Linked DNA regions of Stegostoma tigrinum. Each later gene encodes a partner of the first gene's protein in a complex. Links are inferred from orthologs where the notes say so. Each region holds a gene or a part of one and is shown in the gene's direction. Other genes may lie near its edges.

The links. The genes of interacting proteins can lie anywhere in the genome.
Region 2: med8 (region 1) and med4 share a complex: the UniProt entries of both Homo sapiens proteins name them as parts of the mediator complex. The link is inferred for Stegostoma tigrinum from reciprocal best matches to the Homo sapiens genes MED8 and MED4.
Region 3: med8 (region 1) and med1 share a complex: the UniProt entries of both Homo sapiens proteins name them as parts of the mediator complex. The link is inferred for Stegostoma tigrinum from reciprocal best matches to the Homo sapiens genes MED8 and MED1.
Region 4: med8 (region 1) and med18 share a complex: the UniProt entries of both Homo sapiens proteins name them as parts of the mediator complex. The link is inferred for Stegostoma tigrinum from reciprocal best matches to the Homo sapiens genes MED8 and MED18.

Annotation. Positions count from the first base shown.
Region 1 is NC_081361.1:79,769,864-79,776,921, forward strand, and holds the start of med8 (mediator of RNA polymerase II transcription subunit 8), read left to right. Parts: upstream 1-4,057; 5' UTR 4,058-4,090; coding exon 4,091-4,096; intron 4,097-4,105; exon of another isoform or gene 4,106-4,510; intron 4,511-7,058. Other genes in the region: KICSTOR complex protein SZT2, read right to left, coding at 1,151-1,324, 2,204-2,329, 3,863-3,889. UniProt on the Homo sapiens protein: Component of the Mediator complex, a coactivator involved in the regulated transcription of nearly all RNA polymerase II-dependent genes.
Region 2 is NC_081365.1:72,826,764-72,834,252, forward strand, and holds the start of med4 (mediator of RNA polymerase II transcription subunit 4), read left to right. Parts: upstream 1-4,477; 5' UTR 4,478-4,583; intron 4,584-7,489. Other genes in the region: integral membrane protein 2B-like, read right to left, coding at 4,157-4,243. UniProt on the Homo sapiens protein: Component of the Mediator complex, a coactivator involved in the regulated transcription of nearly all RNA polymerase II-dependent genes.
Region 3 is NC_081384.1:9,381,437-9,388,985, reverse strand, and holds the start of med1 (mediator of RNA polymerase II transcription subunit 1), read left to right. Parts: upstream 1-4,537; 5' UTR 4,538-4,558; coding exon 4,559-4,685; intron 4,686-7,549. UniProt on the Homo sapiens protein: Component of the Mediator complex, a coactivator involved in the regulated transcription of nearly all RNA polymerase II-dependent genes.
Region 4 is NC_081377.1:42,903,663-42,910,823, reverse strand, and holds the start of med18 (mediator of RNA polymerase II transcription subunit 18), read left to right. Parts: upstream 1-4,149; 5' UTR 4,150-4,240; intron 4,241-4,279; exon of another isoform or gene 4,280-4,759; intron 4,760-4,801; exon of another isoform or gene 4,802-5,291; 5' UTR 5,292-5,316; coding exon 5,317-5,389; intron 5,390-7,161. UniProt on the Homo sapiens protein: Component of the Mediator complex, a coactivator involved in the regulated transcription of nearly all RNA polymerase II-dependent genes.

The DNA of each region.
Region 1 (7,058 bases):
AATCTAACAATCCTTCCTTGACATTAAATGGCATTACCATCGCTGTATCCCCCGCTGTCAACATTCAAGGGAGTCATAACTGATCAAAAACTGAACAGTAATAGTTACATAAATAACATGGCTATAACAGCAGGTCAGAGGCTGCAACTTCTGAGAGAAGTAACTCACCCTGTCTCCCCAATATCTGTCCATCATCTACACACACACGTCAGGAATATGACAGAACACTCCCTACTTGTCTGCACAGGTGCAGTTCCAACTATACTCAAGAAGCATGACACCATCCAGGACTAAACAGCCCAAGTGATTGGCAATTTAACCAACACCATGAAACACTGTGGCTGCACTGTTCACTGTTTACAACTCACACAGGGTCCTTAGAAAATACCTTCCAAACTCTTGATCTCCACTTCCTAGAAGAGCAAGGGTAACAGATACATGGAAATTCAAACGCCTGCAAGTTCCTCTTTAAGCCATTAACATCCTGACAACAAACCATGTCGCCATTCCGACAAGATCACTCAATTAAAATCCACTGACGTCACATGGGCTGCAGTGGTTCAAGAAGGCGGCATACCACCACCTTCTCAAGGGCAATTAGAGATGGGAAATAAACGCTGTTCATCCTGTACACCAGCATCTCTTCAAATAAAATATTTTAAAATATGCATACATGTAATTAAAGAAAACTTTTTGTCAAAGCTGATGAAATTCAAAATATTTATTGAGATGTTCACTTTCGATAGCTTCAAATTTAATCACAGTATCCCCACTGTGCGGACAGAGTCCATTCAACCCATCGAATCTGCACTGACCCTTGGTACTGCATCTTTTCAAGACCCAGCCATCCACCTGATCCCCATAACCCTGCTTTTACCATGGCTAGTCCACCTAGCCTGCACATCTGTAGACACTATGGAACACTTGAACATAGCCAATCCACCTAAACTGCACATCTTTGGACTGTGGGAGGAAACCAAATCAACCAGCAGAAACCCAAGCAGACACAGGGTGAACATGCAAGCCCCATGCAGACAGGCACTTAAGGCTGGAATCAAACCCTGGTCCCTGGTGTTGTGAGACAGTAGGGGTAACCACTGAGCCACCGTGCCACCTCTCTCTCTTCCCACCAAATGCAACAATTACTCACCACAATCCCTGTAGATGGACTGAGATCCAGCTCAATAACAAAGCGGTATCGCTGAGCAAGGAAGGTAATAGTGGTTGAGGGTACCAGTTGGTACGTTTGATCAGCAACTGGTTCATCTGGTTGCCAGCCTTTTGGTAGGACACTGAGAACATCCAATTCATTGTTGGAGTTGCTCTGTAAGAGAGAAAGGATAATTGTGAGATGCATCACAATGGCATATGTTACAACTATTATAAAGCAAAAAGGAATAAAAGGACTTCAATTACTGAATAAATGAAAGATGCTGAGATTGTTCCCCTTAGAGATTAATAAGAAATTTGATAGAAATGTCTGAAAAAGCTTACAGATAGGTTCACTCCAACACTGCCAGGATCTATGTCCACTGGCAGAAGGACAAAAATAAAACACCACCAATTTGGGTTGATTAGCAAAATCAATGTGAGGAAAAAACTTCTACGCAGGGAGTGGTTACAATTTCAAATGCACTTCCTCAGAATATGGAGGAGGCAGGTTCAAAAGGGAACTGGATCAACAGCTGAAGGGGGAAAAAAATTACAGATTTTCTCAGAATCACTAGGGCTTCCCATCATTGCATGATCAATCCACAATCTTGGGTAATATCAGGAGATTTTGCATGTTGGCTCAGTGGCTACCAGCACTCTATTATGTCAAACTGAGCCATGCAGACCAAGAAGGTCCCAATTTCAATTCACAAATATTATATTTTTTTCACTTCAGTTGGACGCTGTGTCCTTTGTTTGAGTCGGTGGTGGGGGAGGGCGGAAAAAATTAATGAGTTCACATTCTCAGTCATTTCAGAAAACAACAGGGCAATTACATTAGTGTAATTATCTATTCTAACATGTCCTGAAAATACTTGTGTTACAAATAGATATTTTAAACTAAGAACATGACCATCTAATTTTCTCCCAATGTACTGAGATTGCAATTTACTTTTCATGCAAAGATTAATACACCATATTAGGTTCCCACTACTTCATCCATGTTCTCACAAAGAGGTCACAGAACAATTCAAGGCACCGTTTCACTCACAAGCTCTGACGTGGACATCGGTCGAATGCTTTGATTCAGTCTGTTGAGAAACCAAGCTAATCTTACATTGCGGGAAATCCGATATTCCTTCTTCATAAGCAAGAAAACCTGTCCTGCTTCTTCCACCTGTCAAAACAAAAGTATGTGACTTGGAACTAGAACTTTAGGTCACCAGAAGCTCTACTAGTATACAAGATCACACATTAATAAGACTATAAATACTTGGATGATTTTGCATCAATGAGATTTGAGTGATTTTCTTTCTGCTCCTTAGTTTGCTTTCTTTCTTTGGTCCTTCGATTAACTTCTCATAAAATTAAGCAACTAAGGCACTCAATGGAAGTCCATTTTACACTTCATCAGCAAGAAAAAGGTTATTAAATCAAATATAGCATTTCTAATTGGAAGTAGATACCTTCCTATGTCTCTCTTTACTTCTTGCAAACATAGAAAATAGGTGGAGTAAGCATTCTTTCCTTCAAGCTTGCACCACCATTCAATATGATCATAGATGATCATGAAAAGTTCATGTTAAACCCAAAAGAGAATTTACTACTTCTATTTTTTTTCCCCTGATATTCAGAACCAGACATTTTTCAGTAGCCAAACACAACCATTTTGTGAAACATCACAATCTCCCAGCAGGCAAAGAAATATTTAAAAGCATCAGAGTTGTTATCCTGCAAGTCTGATGTGACATAAAGCCAACTATATTAGTTACAGGAAACATCTTGTCACAGGACATGATCTGATCGTTGCACTGGAGCTCCAACTAAACACACCCTTTGATATCACCAAAAGAAATTTCCAAACATACAACGCATACTCACCAGGTATATTTCCTCAAAATTCCACAGGTTCCAATGGCTATATTTTTGTCAGTCATTTTTTTATACTATTGCTCCAAAAATTAGCTCCTACATTTGCTGTGGTTTGATATTGCTTTTTTATCATCTACATACCAGCTTTAGTTAATTTTATCCAAATATACTAGTTTTCTGATATGATATGAGTGCTTATCTGCACAATTAGCAAAATTTGAGGACCTTATAAACAAGACTTAAAGCGCATAGACCCAGACAACATGTGTCAAGATTCCATGGTGTGAGGCAAGCAGATGTCTTCTGCTTGCCCAGGAAGCATTTCATATTTTGACTGTTAACAACAAGTAGCACAGGCAGCGTATAAAAGCCCCTACAAGACACTGTGGTTTGTTGATTCACAGGATGTCGGCATCACTGGCCACCCCAGCATGTGTCTGTCGTCCATCACTGAGGATGCAAATTCTAGCCACGCTGGAGACAGTGGGAAATAATTTATCTCAGGAGTCCTCTCCAAAGTTGGGTCAGCTGATGAAACTCGGAGTTCACTGATGACACAGCAACCTCCTCCAGAACAAACACGGGAGCTGTCATTGCTGTTCTGACAGTCCCAAACGCGTATTTATTCATGTGCAGCTCACTGGGTTTTTAACTCTCCGACACGAGAAGAAAAAAAACAATCAGACGGAGAGCCGTAAATCCTATGCTAGCAAAGTTTAAGGAGCTGCGTGCAGAAGGCAGGGTCGCACGGACCTTACTGTACATGTCCCGTGCCCTCCACGGGGCCGCCCCTCACTGTTTGCTGACACCGCACCCCAACCTGGGCCCTTCCCTTTACCTCGGAGTCTCTCTCTCCCCCAGACATGCTCGATGGCCGCTCTCATGCCCACCGGCCGGCCGGCCTTCCGCCCCGCCGCCTATCGATTAGAATCGCAGCACTCTGCCGCTCCCGGTTCATCTCCCGGCACACCGCCCCCCTCCCCCAATCAACCTACATACACGTCACCTCTGACCCCTGGCCCCGTCGCCCGGAACCGGAAACCGGGAGGTAGCGGCTGGGGTTGCCATGCAGGTAAGGGGTCGTCAGCGGGACTGGATCGTCCCCTTGAGCTCGACCCTCACAGTAACTCATTTGTCGGAGGAAATCACTTCCACTCGTGTTCCCCCCCCGCCCGAATCCATCCCGTTTTCCCCTCGCAGTGTAGAGACTTTCAGTCCTCAGCTCGTCATGGCATTTGTGGGCTGGAGACTCGAAGAGAGCAGGACAGGCTAAGCAGGCACATCAGCTCTGGACTTGATCAGTGTGTGTGTTAACTACGAGAACATCGAGATTTACGATGAGGCTGTGCGTCACGTTAGTTAGGCCGCAGCTGAACTGTGCGCATTTTTGGTCGCTGTGCGGTAGGAAAGATGTGATTGTGCTGCAGAGCGCGTAGAGGAAGTTTCACCAGGATCAAAAACGGCTGTTGCTGGGAAAACTCAGCAGGTATGGCAGCATCTGTGGCGAGGAAGCGGAGTTAAAGTTCGAGTCCAGTGACCCTTCTTCAGAACTGATTCACCGGGACGTTGCCTCGGCTGGAGTGATTTAGCTCTGAAGAGAGGAAAGACAGGCTGGGGTTGTTTCAGAGCAGAGAACAGTGATCCACCTTATTCAGGTGTATAAATGTTTGAAGGGTAGATAGAGAGGAACTTTTCCCCTTAGCAGAGGAGTCAATAACCAGGGGTGCAGTTCTACAGAAAGCAGCAGGAAATTTATAGACTAATTGAGGAATTTTTTTTCACTGAGGGTGGTTGGTATCTGAAGCTCTCTGCCCTGAAGGGTGGTAGAAGTGGAAAACCTCAATTAATTTAAGAAGTATTTAGATGAGTACTTGAAATGTCGTAGCATACAAGGCTTCATGCCACATGTTGAAAACTGGGATTACAGTAGATAGATGCTTTGTGACCAGCATTAGCATGACGAGTTGTAGTGCCTCTTTCCATCATAGAATCCTACAGTGTGGAAGCGGTCCATTGTGTTATCCCAACCAAACTGCTGTCCCATAACCCTGCATTTCCCGTGGCTAACCCATCTATAGCCTCCATATCCCTGGACACTATGGGCAATTTAACATTGCCAGTCTACCTAACATGCACATCTTTAGACAGTGGGAGGAAACCAAAACACCCAGAGGAAACCCATGCAGACTCAACACTGACAGCTGCCAGAAGGTGGAATTGAGCCCAAGTCCCTGGCAGTAGGAGACAACATTGCTAACCGCAGCCGTTGTGCCACTGCATGTAGTAAAAATGCCAAGACTTTGTGGGATTTTGCTGTGTGCAAATTTCGCTGCTGCATTTCTGACATTAAGTGACTGCACATCATTTCCAGCATCTGCAATGTCTTTTGATTTCAATATAAAATATCATAAAGGCACTTTAGGAGATGTGGTGTGCATAGAAAGGGCTTTATGATAGAGATCAATTGGAAATGTGGGTGGAGAAATGGTGTTTAATCCAGACAAATGTGGGGTAATGCATTTTGGGAAATCAAATACAAGAAAAAGCATACAATTAATGGTAACACCCTGAGGAGCATGGATACACAGAGGGATCTTGGAGTCCAAGTCCATGGCTCCCTGAAAGTAGCAACACAAGTGAATAAGATGGTAAAGAAGGCATACAGAATGCCTCCCTTCATTGGTTGGGACATTAAGTATAAAATATGGCAAGTCACGTTGCAGCTGTATAAGACTTAAGACTTTCTTTAGGCCACATTTAAACTATTATGTGCAGTTCTGGTCTCGACACTGTGAGAAGGATGTGGAAACTTTGGTGAGGTTGTAAAAGAGGCTTACCATAAAGAAGGGAACAGACCCAAAACGTCACCTTTCCTGCTCCTCTGATGCTGCCTGCCCTGCTGTGTTCATCCAGCTCTACACCTTGTTACCTTTACCATGATATCATCTGGATTGGAGAGTATTAGCTATGAGGAGAGATTGGACAAACTTGGATGGTTTTCACTTGAGCTTTGGAGGCTGAGGTGCAACCTAATAAAAGTATATAAAAATAGGAGAAGCATGGATAGGGTGGATAGTCAGGGTCTTTTGCATGCATGGAAATGTCAAATACTACGGGGAGCAAATGTTTAAGTTGAGAGGGGGAAAGATTTGTACAGGGTGGTAGGTGCTTGGAACATGCTGCCGAGGAGGTGGTAGTAGCAGATATGTTTACAAACTTTAAGAAGTGTTTAAGCAGATACGTGAACAGGCAGGATGTAGAGGGTTACAGATGATGTGGCAGCATCAAAGCTGGTAAAGACATTTTGCTCCAAAGGGCCTTGTTTCTATGCTGTACTGTACTATGAATGCAAGTCTAGTTCTTCAAAGGAAGAAGTACTTGCATCTATGCTGCACTTTTCACTATCTCAGTCTTAATGCAGCTCTGCAGGATGTTACAGTGGAAGCAAAATATTACAGATGCAAAAAATCAGATCCTAGAGAAATGAAGTGTAGGCCCTATTGTTCTGTAGGAAATGCAGCAACCAATTAGTGCAGAGTCAAAAATAGAAATTGCTGGAAAAGCTCAGCAGGACTGGCAGCATCTGTGGAGAGTAAGCAGTTAACTTTTTGGGCTAAGTGACCCTTTCTCAGTTCTCAGGGTCACTCCAAAAGTTAACTCTGATTTCCCTCCACAGATGCTGCCAGACCTGCTGAGCTTTTCCGGCAATTTCAATTTTGTCTCTGACTTACAGCATCCATAGTTCTTTTGGTTTTTAATTAGTGCAGATTGCTTGACAATGTGATAGTGACCGGATAGTGTTTGCTGAGATTAGTTGGAGGATAATTGTTGGCCAAGACACTGGGGATGGTGCTTGTTTTTCTCATGGTGTCATTTTTATTTGTGTTCATCCAGTAGCTCCGAACTTTAACATATTATCTGAAAGACCTCATCTCTGATAGTACTGTGCTGGGTGTTATCCTAGATTTGTGTTTTAACATCTGGAGTGGGACCAAGTGAAACACCTTTTGACTCACTCAAGAGTACTACAAACT
Region 2 (7,489 bases), on another chromosome or scaffold:
TTGTAATGATAACATGTATATGATGCCTTGAAACATCCAAGATGCATAATGAAACTGAATGAACCATGTCACATAACGGAAATATAAACAGATGGATTAAAAATTTGGTCAAAGTAGTTTTTGAAGCACTATAGGAAAGATATTGTTAAATGTGAAAGGGTTCAGAGAAGATTTACAAGGATGTTGATAGGACGACAAAGATTGAGCTACAGGGAGAGGCTGAAAGGGCTGGGGTTTTTCCCCCCTGGAAGGTCAGAGGCTGAGGGGTGACCTTATAAGGGTTTTTGAAATCATGAGGGCACAGAGGGTGAAAATCTCTCTTTTCAAAAGAAAAATCAAAGAATCTCAACAGTGTGGAAGCAGGTCATCAGCCCATCAAACTCACACCAACCCTTTGAAGAGTGTATCATTCAGAATCAACCCCCTACCCTATCCTTATAGCCATGCATTTTCCATGGCTAATCCACCCAACCTACACATCGTTGGACTGTGGGAGGAAACCTACACAGACATGGAGAATGTGCAAACTCCACACAGTCAGGGGGTGGAATCAAATCCATGTCCCTGGCACCATGAGGCAGCAGTGCTAACCAGTGAGCCACTGTGACACCTGTAGCCAAGGTCATTTTGCTTTGGTAGGACAGTACAAAAGAGGGCATGGGTTTAACAATTCTACAACTATCTTAAAAGATGAAAAGCAAGATAGAAACATGAAGATACGTAGGGACGATATTCGAAAGCTTGGGGCCTCAGCAATTAAGGGTACTGCCATCAACTGCAAATGGGAAATGCTCAAGAGGTTAAGAATAAAGAGTGAAGATCTTTCAGATCTCAGGGCTGGAATTAAGTAGACACAGGACAGGGCAAGGTCTCAGCATAGTTTGAAAGCAAGAAAAGGGAGAATTTTAGAAGATGCATTAATTGTGAGTCAACTGAGTTAGTGCAGTTTGATGGCAAGGACATTTGGTGGGTATTATGATAAGCAGTGCATCTCAAGTTCACACAGGTAAAACTGAGGAGGGTGAATAGAAATTTACAAACGCTAGAACAGTCAGATCTGGAAGTCTCAGAAATAACTGAAGGTGAACTAGAGATAGGCAACATTAGAGATAGAGATAACAAGGTGTGGAGCTGCATGAACACAGCAGGTGAAGCAGCATCTTAGGATCAGGGAAGTGACATTGGGCAACATTAGATCATGTGACTGAAAGCTAACCCCAGAGTCAAATATGACAAAGGTTGTTTATACTCTGGCTGAGGGTTAGTGCTGAAAGAGAGAAAGTGATGGATTTTGCAGCCAGGGAGCAGAGTTTGAGGTGGAGATAAGATTATGGCTTCAGATTTTCAAATTCTTAGGAATTTTCTGTTCATCCAATGCTGGATGTCAAATACCATACAGCAGTCTGAATTCAGGGAGAACAGGCAGAAGGGTCAAGAGAGGTAATAGTTCCAAACGTTGTCAATGGATAGTTTATGAAATCCACCTTAAACATTCTGCTCAATTGAAAATGTTCTCAATTTTCAAGTTTTTTCAATTCCTCACATCAAAAAGCATTCTAGGCAGTCTGGGCTGTATACTCCAATATCCTTCCAGAACATGGAAACTAAAATTGTACAATACGTGCAACTGTTATCTCAGGTTCAGAATCAGAAATCTCTGCAGCACAGCCTGGCTACACATCAGTCTTGAGGTTGTTTATGTAAACCAAAAGTTTACAGCTGGAATTCACATATGCACACAGGAGTTGCTGATTAAGTTGTGTTTCATGCCCAATTAATAGCATTCAGCAGAAGCACTACCCTAATATCATTCATTAGCATGACAGGAGTTGGAAATGAAGCCTAACAATTATAACACGACAAACTGCCATGGCATTACCAATGAGCCTGAGATCACATCAGTGTCAGAGATGTTTTTGGCTAATTGTCGATAGCATGCTTCAAGTTATTGGACAAACAAAACACAGCATAATGTACATCAGCTAAAGGGACTAGATGTGTCACCAACATGGTGCAGGTCAGTGAGTGCGAGTATTTTAGAGTACCACCAACCACCTATCCTTGTTGATGCCATTGTCTCTGGTCCTTCAACTTTAAACTTATTATGCCTATTTTAAACTTTAACCACCTCTACCAAATTCTCCACATTACAGTAATGTGCTGTCGCCCCACAAAGCTCCAAGATATTTAAAAAGTGAATTTATGAGAATCCCCAAATTTAATTTCTTCCATTTTGTGGCTATACCAAGGTCCTAAGCATTCTGTCTTCCAAACTCTCCTTACCTCCACTGTCCTTTAATATTTTTCTTAAAGCCTTCTGTACCAAGCTTTCAGAACTCATCATCAACTGGTGTTCCATAGTAGTCTAATGTAGGGTCTCAAGTTGTATGCTAAGGGAACCACTCCAATCTATACAGCAAACCTCTTCGACCACATCAGCTAGAAGGACACCTAGATCTCACATTCTTGGTTCCTGCCACAAAGCTTCCACCTTTCCTCAAATCAAAAGAAAACCATTTTATAAAATTTGTTTTATTCAAAATAAAAAATCATTTGACAAACCTTTAATCACTACTGTGTTCCAAATACAGACAAGACCATTTTAGTTTTGAAAACTACATTTTTAAGACGTGGTTTAAATTTTGAAAAGGCAGTCTATTAAAACCAAGTTATTAGATAGGCGTGAATTCCTGGATTTGGTCAGCAGGGAGAAGAGGGTGAAGAAAGAGTTCTACTGTGTTGCTGGATTGGTGGCAAGGCATTCATGCCTTGGATTACAATGGCTTCTCTAAATATCTTGAGAAGACAGGCCATAAGCACTTTGCAAGAATATTTCATATTAAATTGAAAGCCAGTAAAAACAAAAACAGTCAGGGCGTAGGAGGAGCAGTTTAAATTATTCTTGCAATTAAAATGTTTGTAGACATCAAGACAATAAGACATCAAGTATTCACTTCTTCCTCAAATAACAGTTTACAGGTGTTTGGGAACAGGCCATGTGCACTACCATTGCCCAGGTTATGGAAATGGGTCCATAGAGTTTAGCAAGGTTCTTTTGTCCTAACATTGCCTCTATAGGCAAAGTGTCTTTATGTGCCTCCTGCATTTTGAAAAATTAAAATTGCCAGATCTACCAAGTTGGTAATGAAACTGGCAGAGTCCTTGCAGAAACAGGAGATTAGGAAATCTGAATGCCAAGCTAGCAAACTAAGCAGAATCTTTTGCGAGCAAGAGTCCAAAGTAGCTTGGTTCCAAATTAGAACAGAACTTCGGGTCCCGTCATGTAGCTACGAAAGTTGAAAGTGCAACCAGAACAGGCGGAAAAGTCGAGTGGGGAATTTTGGTTCGAAGTGCAAGTACTTACTAGTTAGTTAACAGAACTTTCGCTTTTTTTTGTCAAGTTCGAATTTTCTGCCACCTAAAAGATCTAATGCATGGTCTTCTCTATGCTAAACCATTTCAAAAGTTGACTTTTTTAAAAAAAAAATCCAGTTCATCAGAAATTGTAACAATTGATAATCTCTCCCGTTGTTTTCCCCGAACCCGACGTACTTCAACAATGTGACAGAAGATTTGTGCAGACACCCTGATATTGAATCTGAAAGTTGTAAGAGCGTGCACCAATAGGATTTTTTTAAAAAGTGACTTTTTTTCCCTGTACCACCCCACCTAGTGAGGGAACATTCACCAGTCCCTGATCGGATTTCCCCAAATCCAAAAGCAGAAGTGGGGTTGGCCCATATGCAGGGTATTGGGCGATCGCCAAGCGTGCGTGGACTTTTCCCAACGACGCCGATGCCTCCTCCGCGGGGGGGGGGGGGGGAGGGAAAGAGACAGACAGTCAGGACGAAGAGGATGGGCCCCAGCCACACCGTCAGCCATTTTACAGCGAACGGTCGAAGTCGACTCCTTCCCACATCCGAGGACAGGGACTATGACCCGGGCTCAATATCCAGGGACAGCTGATGCACGGAAGGGCAAAGAGATCAGGCCACCAAAGGCCGCATTCCGGGTCACAAACTGGAAATCGAAAGCCCAGTCCCTGGTTCCAAAAACACTGTCCAGACTTTGTCCAAGGTCCGGCAATAAACTGAAAAACCACGGACAGTTCATCCCCCTCCTTTCCCCAAACAGCCCCCGCCCCCGGTAAACGTACCTTCTCGTGGATGACGAGCGCCTCGTTGTTCTCCTCTTTTTTAGGCTCCTTCTGGCTCAGCGAAGAGTTAAAGGACACTTTCACCATGGTGGCAGTACGAGATGGCAGCGCAAACCCAACAAAAACACAACTCTCGGCTCGGCGCACTCCGGACTAAAACCCACCCCGCTTCACTTCCAGCTGGACCTCGGAATCATCCGCATGACGCAGCTCACAAACATAAATATCCGACCGCGTTCAGCAAGAAGATCCCAGGGAACGCTGCCCCGCCCCCATGTGTCGTGTGTGTGTGGGGGAGGAGGGACCTATGAGCCCCGCCCCAGGGAGGAGGGACCACCCAGTGGGCGGCACGCCCCGTCCCGCCCTTAGGGTAAAGGACTCCTGCCCCGTATGCCCAGTGGGCGTTCGAAGGGAACGTTGCCCTCAGGTAGGTGAAGGTAAAGGTAATCAGTGATAATGGGATCTGCAGATGCTGGAGAATCCGAGATAACAAAGTGTGGAGCTGGATGAACACAGCAGGCCAAGCAGCATCCCCGGAGCACAAAAGCTGACGTTTCGGGCCTAGACCCTTCATCAGAAAAGGGGGATGGGGAGAGGATTCTGAAATAAATAGGGAGCGAGGGGGAGGCGGACCGAAGATGGATAGAGGAGAAGATGGGGAGGCGATAGGTCAGTCCCGGGAGGACGGACAGGTCAAGGAAGCGGAATGAGTCGTTTATCTGCAAGTCGCTCGAATTGGGTTTTCGTGGTGCAGTGGTAACTTTAGACTAGGAGACCTAGGTATTTCCAGTCTGGCAGTTAGATGCACCATTCTTCTGCCATTCTGATATTCCTATCACTTAATCTAAACTATCAACAGCCTTTCTCCCCCAGCACTCGAACCCCTCCCCAACTGTTGCAGAAGTGCTGCTCCCCCCCCACACCTGACTTCAGTTCTGATAAGCTCATCTAGACTCTTAAACGTTAGCTTGCTTTCTCTCCATGGACGCTACCTGACTTGTTGTAGTCTCCAGCATTCCCACAAGCCCCAAAGATATCCAATAACATCTCTGAACAGAGATAGTAGGAACTGCAGATGCTGGAGAATCTGAGATAACAAGGTGTAGAGCTGGATGAACACAGCAGGCCAAGCAGCATTGGAGGAGCAGGAAGGCTGGTGTTTCTGGCTTAGACCATTCTTCATAAATCTCGAGACTCAAAACGCAGCCGTCCTGCTCCTCTGATACATCTCTGAATGTGTTGATTAGAGAATAAAATAAGACACTAGAAATACAGCAGGCTATTGAATGAAATGTAGAAAGCTAAGGAGCAATTCGAAAATAAGGAAGGGAGCTATGATGTGGACATCAGAGTTTTTGGGTAAGCACAATGTTATTAGATTAGATTCCCTGCAGTGTGGAAACAGGGCCTTCGACCCAACAAGTCCACACCACCCCTTGGAGCATTTCACCCAGACCCATCCTCATCCCCCTATAACCCACACACCCCTGAATACTATGGGCAATTTAGCATGGCCGATCCACCTAGCCTGCACATTTTAGACTGTGAGAGGAAACCAGAGCACCCGGAGGAAACCCACGGAGAGAATATGCAAACTCTGCACAGACAGTTACCTGAGCCTGGAATCGAACCCAGGTCACTGGTGCTGTGAGGCTGTAGTGCTAACCATTGAGCCACCGTACGTAGAGAGGAAGCTGGGAGATCAGTCAGAGAATGCAACGATCAGATACCGTTGGGCTGCAGGATTCCCAAGCAGAATATGAGTTACAACGACGCCACCCGAAGGTTGCAGGAACAGCAACTCATATTCCGCTTGGGAACCCTGCAGCTCAATTGTATCAATGTGGACTTCACAAGCTTCAAAATCCCTCTTCCCCCACCACATCCCAAAACCAGCCTAGCTCATCCCAGCCTCCCTAACCTGTTCCTTCCTCCCACGTATCCTCTCTTCCCACCTCAAGCCCCACCCCCATCACTTACCGATTAACCTCAACCCGCCACCTTTTTCTGATGAAGGGTCTAGGCCAGAAACGTCAGCCTTCCTGCTCCTCTGATGCTGCTTGGCCTGCTGTGTTCATCCAGCTCTGCACCTTGTTATCTCGGATTCCCCAGCATCTGCAGTACCTATTACCCTTGACCTGTCTGTCCCTCCTGGACTGACCTATCTCCTCCCTACCTCCCCACCTACACTCACCTTTACTGGCTCCATCCCTGCCTCTTTGACCTGTCTGTCTCCTCTCCAACTATTTTCTCCTCTATCTATCTTCTATCTGCACCCCCCCCCCACCGTCTCCCTATTTATTTCAGAACATCCTTTCCTTCCCCCATTTCTGAAAAAGGATCTAGGCCTGAAACATCAGCCTTCCTGCTCCTCTGATGCTGCTTGGCCTGCTGTGTTCATCCAGCTCTACACCTAGTGCTGTGAGGCAGCAGTACTAACCACTGAGTCACCGTTCTTTGGACCTCACTGACAACTTGTATTGCAATGCTCCTGACAGGCCATTAGAGACAGACCCATCTCTTGCATGGGAGCAAGCTGCATCTCGAGGCTTTTTGCTCGTTCCCCTTAGCATTTTGGGACTGTCTGGATCCTCACAGCACGTCTGTCCTGCGTTGCCTTCCTGCATATTGCCGTATCATTCAGAAAGGGTAACCCTTTAATATTTCTGTCTTGCCTGTCTTTCATCAGGGACACAAAGCTAGGCAGCTTGTCATGGTTCAACAGTTACCTTTGACTTGAATGAGGACTACTGTCTTTAAACTTTGAAACATGGCATTCAGTTAAGGCACACTTAGTGCTTTAATCACACAAGCTGCCTACAGGCTGTAAGTATGACATTGATATAGCATGATGCAAGACAGTTTTATGTCCACCCCCTTGACTGATCACTTCTGACAACCATGACAAGCTGCCTAGCTTTGTGTCCCTGATGAAAGACAGGCAAGACAGAAATATTAAAGGGTTACCCTTTCTGAATGATATGGCAATATGCAGGAAGGCAACGCAGGACAGACGTGCTGTGAGGATCCAGACAGTCCCAAAATGCTAAGGGGAACGAGCAAAAAGCCTCGAGATGCAGCTTGCTCCCATGCAAGAGATGGGTCTGTCTCCAATGGCCTGTCAGGAGCATTGCAATACAAGTTGTCAGTGAGGTCCAAAGAACGGTGACTCAGTGGTTAGCACTGCTGCCTCACAGCACCAGGGACCCGGGTTTGATTCCACCCTTGGGCAACTGTCTGTGTGGAGTTTGCGTATTCTCCCTTTGTCTGAATGGGTTTCCCAGGGTGTTCTGGTTTCCTCCCACAGTTCAATGACGTGCAGGCTAGGTGGAC
Region 3 (7,549 bases), on another chromosome or scaffold:
AGACATTGTGGGACAATTTCCATCCAATGGTAAACTGAAGACACAGAAAAAAAAGTTTTGAATTTCTAAACAGCAATTGGCCAACAATACTAGGACTGATACAAAACAACAAGAATCAGCAATGGTTCCTTTTTAAACCCATTAATCATGTCACTGACTACCCTATACCCCTTCTACAGTTATTGCCTTGCCATCCTACAGTGAAAAGTCTGATAGGAAAAGCTGAAATAAACAATGGCCTTGCCAATGACAGATATACTAAAGCATGAGAACATCACAATTTTGAAAAATATGAGCCTTATTATTAAGGCTCCCATTCATTACACATACTGGATTGTACTTAACAGGATGTTGTTGGGCTTTATTGAGCCAGTGCAACTTATGTGGTGAAGACGCATCTACAATGGCTTTAGGTAAAGAACTCCAGGAGTTTGACAACAATAAAAATATGGTCAATATCAATGTTCATGTATACTTGCTGCCCTGATTCTTTGTGAAGGCTGCAGATCTGGGAGATACTGCTGAGGACACACCTTAGAGAGTTTTTTTTCCACAGTGCAGTATAGACAGTACCGTAGACAGTTTCCAGTCAACCTGTTCAAAAATATTATTACACATGGCTGGGGCAGAGACAACTTGAGCAGGGATGTCCTGCCCCAGAGATAGGGATACTGCTGGCAGAGAGGATGAAGGTTTAAAGTATTGGCTAGGCTCCCAAATACATGCATTGTTTTTATCCATGAAAATTTTTGAAGTTCATGAATAGAGCTAGAGTCCACCTATCAAGGCAAGTGGTAAGTTTTTCATATAATTTTTGACTAGGGCACTGTGGTTAGGAGAATGGCTTTGAGCAACATGGGTTGCTGCAGAGTGCACAGTCTCTAATATACCTTCAGAGATAATGGGAACTACAGATGCTGGAGAATTCCAAGATAATAAAATGTGAGGCTGGATGAACACAGCAGGCCAAGCAGCATCTCAGGAGCACAAAAGCTGACGTTTCGGGCCTAGACCCTTCATCAGAGAGGGGGATGGGGAGAGGGAACTGGAATAAATAGGGAGAGAGGGGGAGGCGGACCGAAGATGGAGAGTAAAGAAGATAGGTGGAGAGAGTATAGGTGGGGAGGTAGGGAGGGGATAGGTCAGTCCAGGGAAGACGGACAGGTCAAGGAGGTGGGATGAGGTTAGTAGGTAGATGGGGGTGCGGCTTGGGGTGGGAGGAAGGGATGGGTGAGAGGAAGAACCGGTTAGGGAGGCAGAGACAGGTTGGACTGGTTTGGGATGCAGTGGGTGGGGGGGAAGAGCTGGGCTGGTTGTGTGGTGCAGTGGGGGGAGGGGACGAACTAGGCTGGTTTAGGGATGCAGTAGGGGAAGGGGAGATTTTGAAACTGGTGAAGTCCACATTGATACCATATGGCTGCAGGGTTCCCAGGCGGAATATGAGTTGCTGTTCCTGCAACCTTCGGGTGGCATCATTGTGGCAGTGCAGGAGGCCCATGATGGACATGTCATCTAAAGAATGGGAGGGGGAGTGGAAATGGTTTGCAACTGGGAGGTGCAGTTGTTTGTTGCGAACTGAGCGGAGGTGTTCTGCAAAGCGGTCCCCAAGCCTCCGCTTGGTTTCCCCAATGTAGAGGAAGCCGCACCGGGTACAGTGGATGCAGTATACCACATTGGCAGATGTGCAGGTGAACCTCTGCTTAATGTGGAATGTCATCTTGGGGCCTGGGATAGGGGTGACGGAGGAGGTGTGGGGGCAAGTGTAGCATTTCCTGCGGTTGCAGGGGAAGATGCCGGGTATGGTGGGGTTGGAGGGCAGTGTGGAGCGAACAAGGGAGTCATGGAGAGAGTGGTCTCTCCGGAAAGCAGACAGGGGAGGGGATGGAAAAATGTCTTGGGTGGTGGGGTCGGATTGTAAATGGCGAAAGTGTCGGAGGATGATGCGTTGTATCCGGAGGTTGGTAGGGTGGTGTGTGAGAACGAGGGGGATCCTCTTAGGGCGGTTGTGGCGGGGGCGGGGTGTGAGGGATGTGTTGCGGGAAATACGGGAGACGCAGTCAAGGGCGTTCTCGATCAATGTGGGGGGAAAGTTGCGGTCCTTAAAGAACTTGGACATCTGGGATGTGCGGGAGTGGAATGTCTTATCGTGGGAGCAGATGCGGCGGAGGCGGAGGAATTGGGAATAGGGGATGGAATTTTTGCAGGAGGGTGGGTGGGAGGAGGTGTATTCTAGGTAGCTGTGGGAGTCGGTGGGCTTGAAATGGACATCAGTTACAAGCTGGTTGCCTGAGATGGAGACTGAGAGGTCCAGGAAGGTGAGGGATGTGCTGGAGATGGCCCAGGTGAACTGAAGGTTGGGGTGTAAGGTGTTGGCGAAGTGGATGAACTGTTCGAGCTCCTCTGGGGAGCAAGATATACCTTGCTTGTCTGAACTGGTCTGGAATTGTGTGATTTCACTGCTGTTTATGTGGAGGGATTGCCTATTTGTTTTTAGATTGGTTTTTTACAATGCCAAATGCAAGGATTAGCAGATAGGGACTTCAAACCATGTAGAGTATTTGCATTCTGGTGGTCCCACATAACACCAAGTTTCTAGAACGTTGCAAACAGGGAGATGGGGCAAACTGCTGAAGGAAGTTGAATTAACATGAGGTAACATTAGGCAAGTTGCTATCAGAACAGTCTCTTGTCCGTTTTCAGGTTTCCTCTTCTCCTTCTCTATACCCAAGGTGTCATTGTCAGCAATTGCTAGTTCCAGCAGGAAAAGTTATTTTCTTCTTCCTTTCCATATCACATCCTGTAGTAATCTAAAATAATGAAGAAAACCATAATATTTAATACATAAAGTTAACATTTTTAATACTCAGGGAGTGGTAAATCTTTGGAATGCTGTGATTGGGTTGTGAAAGCTCAATCATTGGGCATATTCAAGACAGAAATAAATTAAATTCTTTAGATTAGTGGCATTAAACAATTTTGGAAATAACATAGAAAAATGACATTGATGCAGTTGATCAGTAATGATGTAGTTGAATTACACAGCAGCCTCAATGGGCTGAATGGCCCACTCCTGCACCTCTGTTCGGATATGTCCTTAGAGAATCCACATGCAGGGCTGCAGCTGCTACTCAGGGCCTTCTTCCCTTCAAAAAAATGGCAGCTTCTCCTGCCTAAGCATAAAGTGAAGTGAACCTGCCAGTGTCTGAGCTATCCCTGCAATATGAGACAGCAGTAAAGCACTGTCACCCATGGTCATGCCCAATTCAACTGGCTGCATCCTTCCCACAAGAGATTCCCAACTCCTACCAGTGCCAAGAGCAGGCTCAATGATAATGAGATTAAATCCCACTCTTTTTGCCCAAGTTGACCGCACCCTAAATTTCTATGGATCCTTACAGCTTCTGCTACAATTCATATCAAATGGGATTCATTGATCGCTTCAAGTTTCTATTAATTTGCATTCTGTCACCCTGACAGCCCTGCATTTTGCTTCATTTCGGTACCTTTTGGTACTTCTGGGATGAGCAGTGAGATGTGAAACTTCACTATCTCCTTATTTTATTTTCTTTTAGTTTAGTTTTGCTTTTACATTTTGCTAATTTGTCACCGATGTCTTGTAATTTAGTAAAGCAATAATGTCTCTGAGAGACATTAGTGTAACACATGGATTTTCATCATATTCCAGTAATGTCATTACAGCTATTGTTGTTGCTAAATTTTTAATCCAGACTTTTTAAAGTAACTATATTTTAATCCCCCAGCTACAAGCGACCCTGTCTCATTGTGAACTATCTACGTAATATCACACACATACAGGGTACTGAAATAGCTCCAACGAGGCCGGTATCCCATCACCAAGTCACCCTTTATTTACACATGGAGAGTCAGTAACACTGCTCCAGCTTCCTTAGAGCCAACTCTCAGAGTGAACAGAATCTCTGACCCGAGATAGTGGGAGCTGCAGATGCTGGAGAATCCGAGATAACAAAGTGTGAAGCTGGATGAACACAGCAGGTCAAGCAGCATCTTGACCCACCTGTTTATATCTGTCAGCCAGAGCTCACTGATTGGGGCAGATTAACAGTTCCAATCAGAGAAATCATATTCTGGTTGACCACATTATGATAACTACAGATACAGTTACACTCCCCTTGAAAATTTTAAGTGGAAATTCTATCCATGAAGTTGCCTTTATCGCTTTCATTAGACAACATGGTTCCTTTGTCTCCATCACTTCTGGGATGGCATAAATGAAATTATCCTTCAGTTGTTTCACAAATCTGTGTCCTCTGTCTATCTTCCTGGAAAGATTTAAAAAAGGAGTCTTACGAGGAGCAGGAGGAAGCCTGCACAATAAGAAAGATCCATAATTTCAACAAAAGGGGGAACTTCTGAACAATTTTATTCAATTTGGGGAAACATTGCAGTTTGGGTGCAGTTTCCCCCAGTTTGCCTCCAGGGGGCGATATACCAGCTTCAGTGACGTCTTGATCCCTTGCGTCGGATGTGACGCCGTTAACCTGCGCGGCCGGGCCGAGCGAAGGGGAGGAAGGGGAAGATGGCGGCGTTGCAGGGGTTCCCCGTTTCGGTCTCTTACAGCCACAGTGGCTGCGTCGACACATCGGCCGGGCCGCAGCCCCAGCACCAGCCGCCACACGCCGAGCGGAGCAAGGAAGAGGCGACAGGTAAATAAAGGCCGGTAACCTCGAGGCGGGGGTCTCGGTCTGCTGGGGGCCAAGGAGCTCCAAGGGCAGGAGACCCCAGGTGATCAGAGGCCTGAGGCTGGGCATCGGCCCTCGGTGGGGGGGGGGGGTCTTGGGTGGGCATCGGCCCTGGAGGGGCCAAGGTATGGGAACCTGAGGGTAAGGATTCGACCCAGATGTTAGGGGCCTAAGCATGGGTATTGGAGCCAAAAGGTCAGGGCTTGAGTGTAGGCATCCATTCCGACGGGCAGGAGCCTGAAAGTGAACATCTGGTCTGAGAGTTAGAGGCCTGAGGCTGGATAATGGACCAGAGGGGTAAGAACATTGGGTGGGCTTTGGTTCTGGAGGCTGTACGTAAATGATTTGGAGGAAAATGTATCTGATCTACTTAGTAAGTTTGCAGACCATACAAAGATTGTTGGAGTTGAGGACTGGAAGGAGGATTGCTTGAGGTTACAGCAGGATGGAGATCAGTTAGGCGAATGGGCTGAAAAGTGGCGGATGGAGTTTAACCCAGACACACGTGAGGTGAGGCCTTTTGGACGGTCAAGTACAGGTGGAAATTATACAGTGAATGGCAGGACCCTTAGGAGTGTTGACATGCAGAGGGATCTGGTTGTGAACGTCCACAGATCACGGAAGGTGGCAGTGCAGGTAGATAAGGTAGTAAAAATGGCTTATGGTATGTTTGACTTCGTTGGAAGGGGCATTGAGTATAAGGATAGACCAGTCATGCTGGAGCTTTATTGAACTTCACTTGGAATATTGCATACAGTTCTGGTCACCACACTACCAGAAGGATGTAGATGTTTTGGAGAGGGTACAGAAAAGGTTTACTGGGATTTACTGGCTGACGTGGCGACCTGATAGAAGTTTGTAATATTGTGAATGGCATGGATCAATGGAAGTATAAGGCTTTATCCCAGGGTGGAGGGGTCATTTACTGGGCCACACAGGTTCAAGGTGTGAAGGGGGAAGTTTAGAAGAGATGTGTGAGGAACATTTTTCACACAAAGGATGGTGAGTGCCCGGAATGCGTTGCCAGAGGAGTTGGTGGAAGCTGATACAATAGCAGCATTCAGGAAGAACCTGGACGAATATTTGAATAGGAAGGGAAAATAGAGATACAGATTCTGGAAGTGAAAACAGTTCTAGTACGGAAGGGGAAAATGTCAGTGCAGGCTTGGAGGGCTGAAGGGGCCTGTTCCTGAACTATATTTTTGTTTCTTGGGGCCTAAGGGTGGGCATTGGACCCCAGGGGTAGGGACCTCAAAGCATAACGGAGGTATTCGTGACCTGCCCCTTTACTGAATTCAAAAGCAATTATTAAATGACATGAATTACCCCCCGCACCTTTGGCTCCACATTGAAAATCCCTCACCTGCACAAGCTTTCAGGCACTGGTGGAAGATTTGGTTACCCTCTTCATCTATTGCTTTATGTGACAACAGGCCCAAGCCCTTCTTAAATAGCTGAATTTATTAACCTGAATGGGTGATCTGTGAGCTCGTGCATCCTAGGTCCTGTTGGATAAAATCAAAAAGTGGAGTGATAAGTAGGATTGATTGAGTTTATCCACCAATAAAAAGGTGACATGATACTCTGTCTATCTGGACACAATCTTTCCCATCAAAATTGTGTTTGTTGAAATTTCAACAGTTCAAGTAAACCTCGTATCAAAGTTAGATGTGATTATCCTTACAATGACTGCAGTCATCAAAACATTGCCATTTAATCTTTGACTAAAATTTTTCAGGCCACTTCTGTCATCACCAATGTCATGAGGCTCTTTAAAAGTCATTGAGGGCAAATACACTTTATTTGTCAATGAATACCACTACTTATTTCAGGCTTGTGTGAGTGATGTTCCTTATAATTGTACTGCTTGCTAGATAAATCAGGTCAGTTTATTTCGTCCATAACACTTATGGATGTACCCTTAGTAAATGGCAGAACCAGATGAGGCTGCAGATAAGTGTATAGGAAATGGAAACTGAAACTCCACCATGTGTGCCATGGAGATTCAGAAACGGTCACTTTCATATTGATTTGTTTATGACATAAAATCATAGATTTGCAGCATAGGGAGATTCTCAACCCATCGTATCTCTGACTGAAAAAGAGCTAATCAGCATAATTCCCCCATTTCTAGCCCATGGTCCATAATCTCCACATGACAGCGCTTCAGTTGCATGTCCAAATACTTTATAAATATAATGAGGTTTTATTCATGTACAATCTTTACAGGCAGGGAGTTGCAGAACCCCAGTACTCTTGTGAAAAGATTTCTCCTTAACCCTGTTCTAATCCTTCCACAAATTATTTTAATTAGTTTATGATCTCTTTTGCTAAGGGAAATTGGTGCTTTCGAGATTGGAAGTTTGTTTCTATTGGATTTTGTAAGAGGTTGAGTTGTAAGCGATATATAGCGATGGTTTATACTTAAACGTAGGTAGCATGATAGTGAAGAAATTGGCAGTAGACTGCATGAAAATATGTGTGGATTGGCCATCTTGTCAGAGAAGTGTTGAGTAGGAATCATTCCAGAGAAGCCTGGGGTAATGCATTTGGGGAGGGTCAAATTTACTGATAGGTTCCTGAGAAGTAACAGAGTAACATTGGAGTGCATGTCCATGGATCTCTGAAGATAGTCGTAAGATAGGTAAAAATATAAAGGCTGAGAGGTTATGACGAATTTGTACAAAATAAAAGCAAATTACTGTGGATGCTGGAGATCTGAAGTGAAAAGAGCAAGAACTGTAGAATCTATGCAGGTCTGGCAGCGTCTGTGGAGGAAGAAAAAAAGTTAACATTTGAAGTACAGTATGACTTTCGTTTGGAACTGT
Region 4 (7,161 bases), on another chromosome or scaffold:
GGATCAGAGGCAAAGCCGCTAGTGGTCCGGGGTGAGGCTATGGCTTGTGGTTTTTATAATTCGATGCTGCAAGTCCAGGTATCACTCGGGGAAAGCTATGCTGCACTCCTTCACAATTTCAAACCCAGACCCGGTACACTTTACCCAGAGCAGGTGAAAAACAGGTGGACACCTGAATCAGCCGATTGGTCAGTGGGAAAACGCCAAACATAATATTGATCAAAGTAGTGAGGACTTTGACAAAGTGAAGAGATTTTAGTCCATTCCAACAGTGAAATTTGATTTGTCTTTTTGAAAGCATTTCACAAAAGAAATAAAAGACTTGACTGGTTCTCTATTGAAGTATTTATTTTATAGGAGTATACATGCAATAGTTTCACAGGGGTCGATGGCTCATGTCTGTGTGCGGTAACTGACAGACCTAAGGAACGACAACAATTCTGCTAGGGCTTGAATTGAAGATAACAAAGTGTGAGGCTTCTTCCTGTCCCGCAGGTCCGACCAGTCCCCCTCCACCGACACCCACATTCGCCTAGCCGAACTTGTCCTCACCCTCAACAACTTCTCTTTCGATTCCTCCCACTTCCTACAGACTAAGGGGGTGGCCATGAGCACCCGCATGGGCCCCAGCTATGCCTGCCTCTTTGTAGGTTACGTGGAATAGTCCCTCTTCCGCACCTACACAGGCCCCAAACCCCACCTCTTCCTCCGTTACATTGATGACTGTATCGGCGCCGCCTCTTGCTCCCCAGAGGAGCTCGAACAGTTCATCCACTTCACCAACACCTTCCACCCCTACCTTCAGTTCACCTGGGCCATTTCCAGCACATCCGTCACCTTCCTGGACCTCTCAGTCTCCATCTCAGGCAACCAGCTTGTAAATGATGTCCATTTCAAGCCCACCGGCTCCCACAACTACCTAGAATACACCTCCTCCCACCCACCCTCCTGCAAAAATTCCATCTCCTATTCCCAATTCCTCCGCCGCATCTGCTCCCACGATGAGGCATTCCACTCCCGCACATCCCAGATGTCCAAGTTCTTCAAGGACCGCAACTTTTCCCCCACAGTGGTTGAGAATGCCCTTGACCGCGTCTCCTGCATTTCCCGCAACACATCCCTCACACCCCGCCCCTGCCACAACCGCCCAAAGAGGATCCCCCTCGTTCTCACACACCACCCCACCAACCTCCGGATACAACGCATCATCCTCCGACACTTTCGCCATCTACAATCCGACCCCACCACCCAAGACATTTTTCCGTCCCTACACTTGTCTGCCTTCTGGAGAGACCACTCTCTCCGTGACTCCCTTGTTCGCTCCACACTGCCCTCCAACCCCAGCACACCCGGCACCTTCCCCTGCAACCGCAGGAAATGCTACACTTGCCCCCACACCTCCTCCCTCACACCTATCCCAGGCCCCAAGATGACTTTCCATACTAAGCAGAGGTTCACCTGCACATCTGCCAATGTGGTATACTGCATCCATTGTACCCGGTGTGGCTACCTCTACATTGGGTAAACCAAGCGGAGGCTTGGGGACCGCTTTGCAGAACACCTCCGCTCGGTTCGCAATAAACAACTGCACCTCCCAGTCGCAAACCATTTCCACTCCCCCTCCCATTCTATAGATGACATGTCCATCATGGGCCTCCTGCAGTGCCACAATGATGCCACCCGAAGGTTGCAGGAACAGCAACTCATATTCCGCTTGGGAACCCTGCAGCCCAACGGTATCAATGTGGACTTCACCAGCTTCAAAATCTCCCCTTCCCCCACCGCATCCCAAAACCAGCCCAGTTCGTCCCCTCCCCCCACTGCACCACACAACCAACCCAGCTCTTCCCCTCCACCCACTGCATCCCAAAACCAGTCCAACCTGTCTCTGCCTCCCTAACATGTTCTTCCTCTCACCCATCCCTTCCTCCACCCCAAGCCGCACCTCCATCTCCTACCTACCAACCTCATCCCACCTCCTTGACCTGTCCGTCTTCCCTGGACTGACCTATCCCATCCCTACCTCCCCACCTATACTCTCCTCTCCACCTATCTTCTTTTCTCTCCATCTTCGGTCCGCCTCCCCGTCTCCCTATTTATTCCAGAACCCTCACCCCATCCCCCTCGCTGATGAAGGGTCCAGGCCCGAAACGTCAGCTTTTGTGCTCCTGAGATGCTGCTGGGCCTGCTGTGTTCATCCAGCCTCACATTTCATTATCTCAGATTCTCCAGCATCTGCAGTTCCCATTATCACTAGGACTTGAATTGAACCTGGGTACAGTATTTTCTGGGCTAACAAGGTGTGGAGCTGGATGAACACAGCAGTCCAAGCAGCATCAGAGGATCAGGAAAGCTGACATTTCAGGCCTATACCCTTCTTCAGAATTTTCTGGGCTGGTGTTGTAAATATTACCTGTAGGTGGATCATAAGGGCGCAGTGTTTGAACTAAGAGATAGCTTATGGATAAACTGTCCAATTTCACCATGTTAACATTTTCAAAAGAGGATTAAGCATCTCATACAGGCAATTCACTTAAATATGCATTCCCAAAAAATAGGCATTACTTAGGAAAACTGCAGGCAGTCATTGGATCAAAATATTCCAGCTGTTTAACGACTGTCCAGAGACTGAGCTCGGCAACCATATAAAGACTGGTACCAGTCTGTAAAATTGGGTCCTTTTAGGAAGGAGAGATCGGATATGTCAAGTTGCTGCTCAGGACCTTGGCCTCCATCAGAATATTCAGGTGTTTTTACAGTCTCCGGCTCAGCTTTGAATGCAACACTTTGAGATCAGAAAGATGTTTTCAGTCTCCAGCTGCTGGGAATGATTCTCTCTCTAAAGACATTGTGGGTCAAACCACATCAGGTGGATTGCAGCAGTTCAAGAAGGTAGCTCATCCACACCTTCTCAAGGAGTGCCTAGGGATGGGTAATAAATGCTGGTCCAGCCAACAACACCTACATCTGACAGTGAATAGAAAAGAAAGATTCAGCTTGTCTCATGTTCAACTCCCCCAGGGTCACTTTTTGTCACAGCAATGATGAGGGAACATTTCTGGGAATGGCCAGCAGCTCAGCGACACTGCGGGATGTCAGGGTTCAAACATGGACTTCTTGTTTATTCAGGATCTGGGGCAGGGAGAGGGGTGGGGGAGGGGAGGAGGTAAGGAAGGGGAGGGTTTAGGGGTGGGGAAAGGTGGGGAAGGAGGTTGGGAGGGGGTTAGGGATGGGGAGGAGGGGAGAGTGGAGGTGGAGGTTGGGAGGGGGGTAGGGGTTGGGAGGGGGGTAGGGATGGGGAGGAGGGGAGGGGTGGGGAAGGAGGTTGGGAGGGGTGTAGGGATGGGGGAGGGGGTGGAGGTTGGGAGGGGGGTAGGGGTGGAGGAGGGGGAGGAGGTTGGGAGGGGGGTAGGGGTGAGGGTGGAGGTTGAGAGGGGGGTAGGGGTGGGGGAGGGGGTGGAGGTTGGGAGGGGGTAGGGGTGGGGGTGGAGGTTGGGAGGGGGTAGGGGTGGGGGTGGACGTTGGGAGGGGGTGGAGGTTGGGAGGGGGTAGGGGTGGGGGTGGACGTTGGGAGGGGGTGGAGGTTGGGAGGGGGTAGGGGTGGACGTTGGGAGGGGGTGGAGGTTGGGAGGGGGTAGGGGTGGGGGTGGAGGTTGGGAGGGGGTAGGGGTGGGGGTGGAGGTTGGGAGGGGGGAGGGGGTAGGGGTGGGGGTGGAGGTTGGGAGGGAGGTGGGGTGGGAGGGGGTAGGGGTGGGGGTGGAGGTTGGGAGGGGGGTAGGGGTGGGTTGGGAGGGGGTAGGGGTGGGGTGGGTGGGGGTGGAGGTTGGGAGGGGGGTGGGGTGGGAGGGGGTAGGGGTGGAGGTTGGGAGGGGGGTAGGGGTGGGGTGGGAGGGGGTGGAGGTTGGGAGGGGGGTAGGGGTGGAGGAGGGTAGGGGTGGAGGTTGGGAGGGGAGGGGGGTAGGGGTGGGAAGTGAGAGGAGTGAGTGGAGGATGAGAGGGGAAGGAGGTAGGGGGAGGTGGGGGCTTGGTATTGGAGGGGTGGGGGAGGGGGGTGGAGGTAGGGAGCGGGGTAGGGACGGGGAGGAGGGGAGTGGGGAAGGAGGGAGGGGATGGGGGGGGTGGGGCCGCGGGGGAGGGCGAGGAAGCGATCTTGGGGAACACAAATGATGGGGCACCCTATACATTTCCGGTTCCGGTTTCCGCCCGGACGGTATTGGCGTCTGCACGCGGGTCACTTCCGGTGAGGTTCCTGGGACCGAGAGACAAATACCCCCCCCCCGCTCTCGGGGGGGGGGGGGGTAATGCCGGCACGATCCTGTCACACATTCCCCCCCACCCCCCCTCTCCAATGTTTCCTTCCTCCTCCAGCATCCCGGTCTCCCGTCTCTGGAACACTGCCCCCGATGTCCTGGGGAGATGTGACTGTGTTCAGGGGAGGGGGCTCTGTCACTCATATTAAATTGGGACAGTTTCCATGCTCCCGTGGGGCTGCGCTCTCATTCTGAGAAGTGACTGATGTTGGTTTAACCTGGGGGTTCCCCTGGGTGAGGGTTGAGGTCCCCCCTGGGTGAGGGTTGAGGCCCCCCCTTGGTGAGGGTTGAGGTCCCCCCCCCCAGTGAGGGTTGAGGTCCCCCGGGTGAGGGTTGAGGCCCCCCCGGTGAGGGTTGAGGCCCCCCCTTGGTGAGGGTTGAGGCCCCCCTGGTGAGGGTTGAGGCCCCCCCTTGGTGAGGGTTGAGGCCCCCCCTTGGTGAGGGTTGAGGTCCCCCGGGTGAGGGTTGAGGCCCCCCCGGTGAGGGTTGAGGCCCCCCCCGGTGAGGGTTGAAGTCCCCCTGGTGAGGGTTGAGGCCCCCCCTTGGTGAGGGTTGAGGTCCCCCCCCTCCCCCCCGGTGAAGGTTGAGGTCCCCCCGGTGAGGGTTGAGGCCCCCCCGGTGAGGGTTGAAGTCCCCCCGGTGAGGGTTGAAGTCCCCCCGGTGAGGGTTGACGTCCCCCCGGTGAGGGTTGACGTCCCCCTGGTGAGGGTTGAGGTTCAGATTCATGGTAACCTCAGCTGGTGTGGGAAGTGGACATGAGAGATGTTGGATCAGCCACAATCCTATTGAATGGCAGGGCAAGCTCAAGGGGCTGAATGGCCTCATCCTGCTTGTATTTCCTGTGGCATTATGTTGGCATAACGTTGTATATAAATCAGCTATCCAGAAAACCAGCCCCTATGTTACTGAAACCCTGGTTTTCAAGATGTCCACTTTTCAAACATTCCAGTCTCTTCACAGCATCTTTCCCCCTCCCCACAGGTAGGTTTCCTGGAGACTTGTCAAAATGGAGGCCCCTCCTGTTACGGTGTTACCTGTCATTGGTGGAACCATTAATATGATGGAATATATTCTTCAAGGTATGAAATGTGGCCCTGTTAATTTTACTGTAAAATGATTTCAGCAGATAAGTAACTGGGGTTTCAGAACTAAAACAGTTCTTCAGTGATTGGTACGTGAGTCAGAATGAGTAGACATTCTGCCAGGTTGCTCCTTGTGGGTAATATTCTATTATACCTTGTGTCCTTAACTGTAAAGTAAAGTCTCTATTCTGTGAGGACCATATGGCTGCCCTCATTAGAGAGAGAGAGAGAGACGACTGATCGTGGTTTAACCTGACATTGCTGGAGAACCACAGATTATTCTGACATAATGGGAACTGCAGATGCTGGAGAATCCAAGATAACAAAGTGTGGAGCTGGATGAACACAGCAGGCCAAGCAGCATCTCAGGAGCACAATATAAGATATTCACTTCTCTCAGCAGTATAATGGTTGCATTCTGCTCATTGTGAATAAATGTTAAACAGGTTAGACAGTTCCAATAAGTGTGCTCCATATTTGGTTATTATCCTGTCAATTTTATTCCCACCATTTAACTTGAAAGCTGTAGATGTGTTGGAGTCTTCCACCTAGCCACTGGCATTGAGGAAATTTGCACTTTTCCTCCTCTTGACCCAGGTTATTTGAGGCCATTTATAGTGCCCTGAATGCCAGCGAAGCTCCATACAAACCTGGGACCTTGCTGGGTAGAAATGTTGTTACTTGTCCTGCTGAATTATTACTCATGTTCTAATCTTTGATATTTGTAAAAATTATGACAAAGCCTTATTTTTCTCTAAAAAAACCCCCAGAATAACGGGATTCGAATGTTGTTGAAAAGAGAGATGTATTACTGAAGTTTTTGCATTGTGTTGATCAGGACAATTGCAAGAAATCCTAATTTTTAAAAAAATTCATTTGTGGGATGTGGGCCTTGTTGGTTGCCAGCATTTCTTACGCATCCCTAGTTGCCCTTGAGAAGGTGATGGTGAGCTGCCTTCTTGAACCGCTGCAGTCCGCCTGCTGTGGGTTGACCCACAATGCAATTAGGGAGGGAATTCCAGGATTTTGACCCAGTGACAGTGAAGGAACGTCAATATATTTCCAAATCAGGATGGTAGTGACTTGGAGGTGGTGGTGTTCCCATATATCTGCTGCCCTTGTCCTTCTAGATGGAAGAGGTCGTGGGTTTGGAAGGTGCTGTTTGAGGATCTTCGGTGAATTTCTGCAGTGCATCTTGTAGATAACACACACTGCTGTTACGGAGTGTCAGTGGTGGAGGGAGTGGAGTGGATGCGATGTGATGATCAAGCGGGCTGCTTTGTCCTGGATGGTGTCAAGCTTCTTGAGTGTTGTTGGGACTGTACTCATTCAGGAAAGTGGGGAGTATTCCATCACACTCCTGACTTATGCCTTGTAGATGGTAGACAGGCTTTGGGGATTCAGGAGGTGAGTTACTTGCTGCAGTATTCCCAGCTTCTGGCCTGCTCTTGTAGCCAGTCTGAGTCCAGTTGAGTGTCTGGTAAATGGTAACCCCCAGGATGTTGATAGTGGGGGATTCAGTGATGATAACACCATTGAATGCCAAGGGGCAGTGGTTAGATTGTGATCTTTTGAAATTAGGAATTTGAGAGAAAACAATTTATTTTCCTTTTATCCTGTAGTGTAAATTATTGTGACATTAAAAGGAAATGACGTTAAAGCTTTGGCAACATATAGTTGTACAGCGTAGAACCAGACCCTCTGGCCCAACTTGTCCATGCTGACCAGATTTCCAAAGCTAAACTAGTCTCATTTACCTGCTTTTAGCC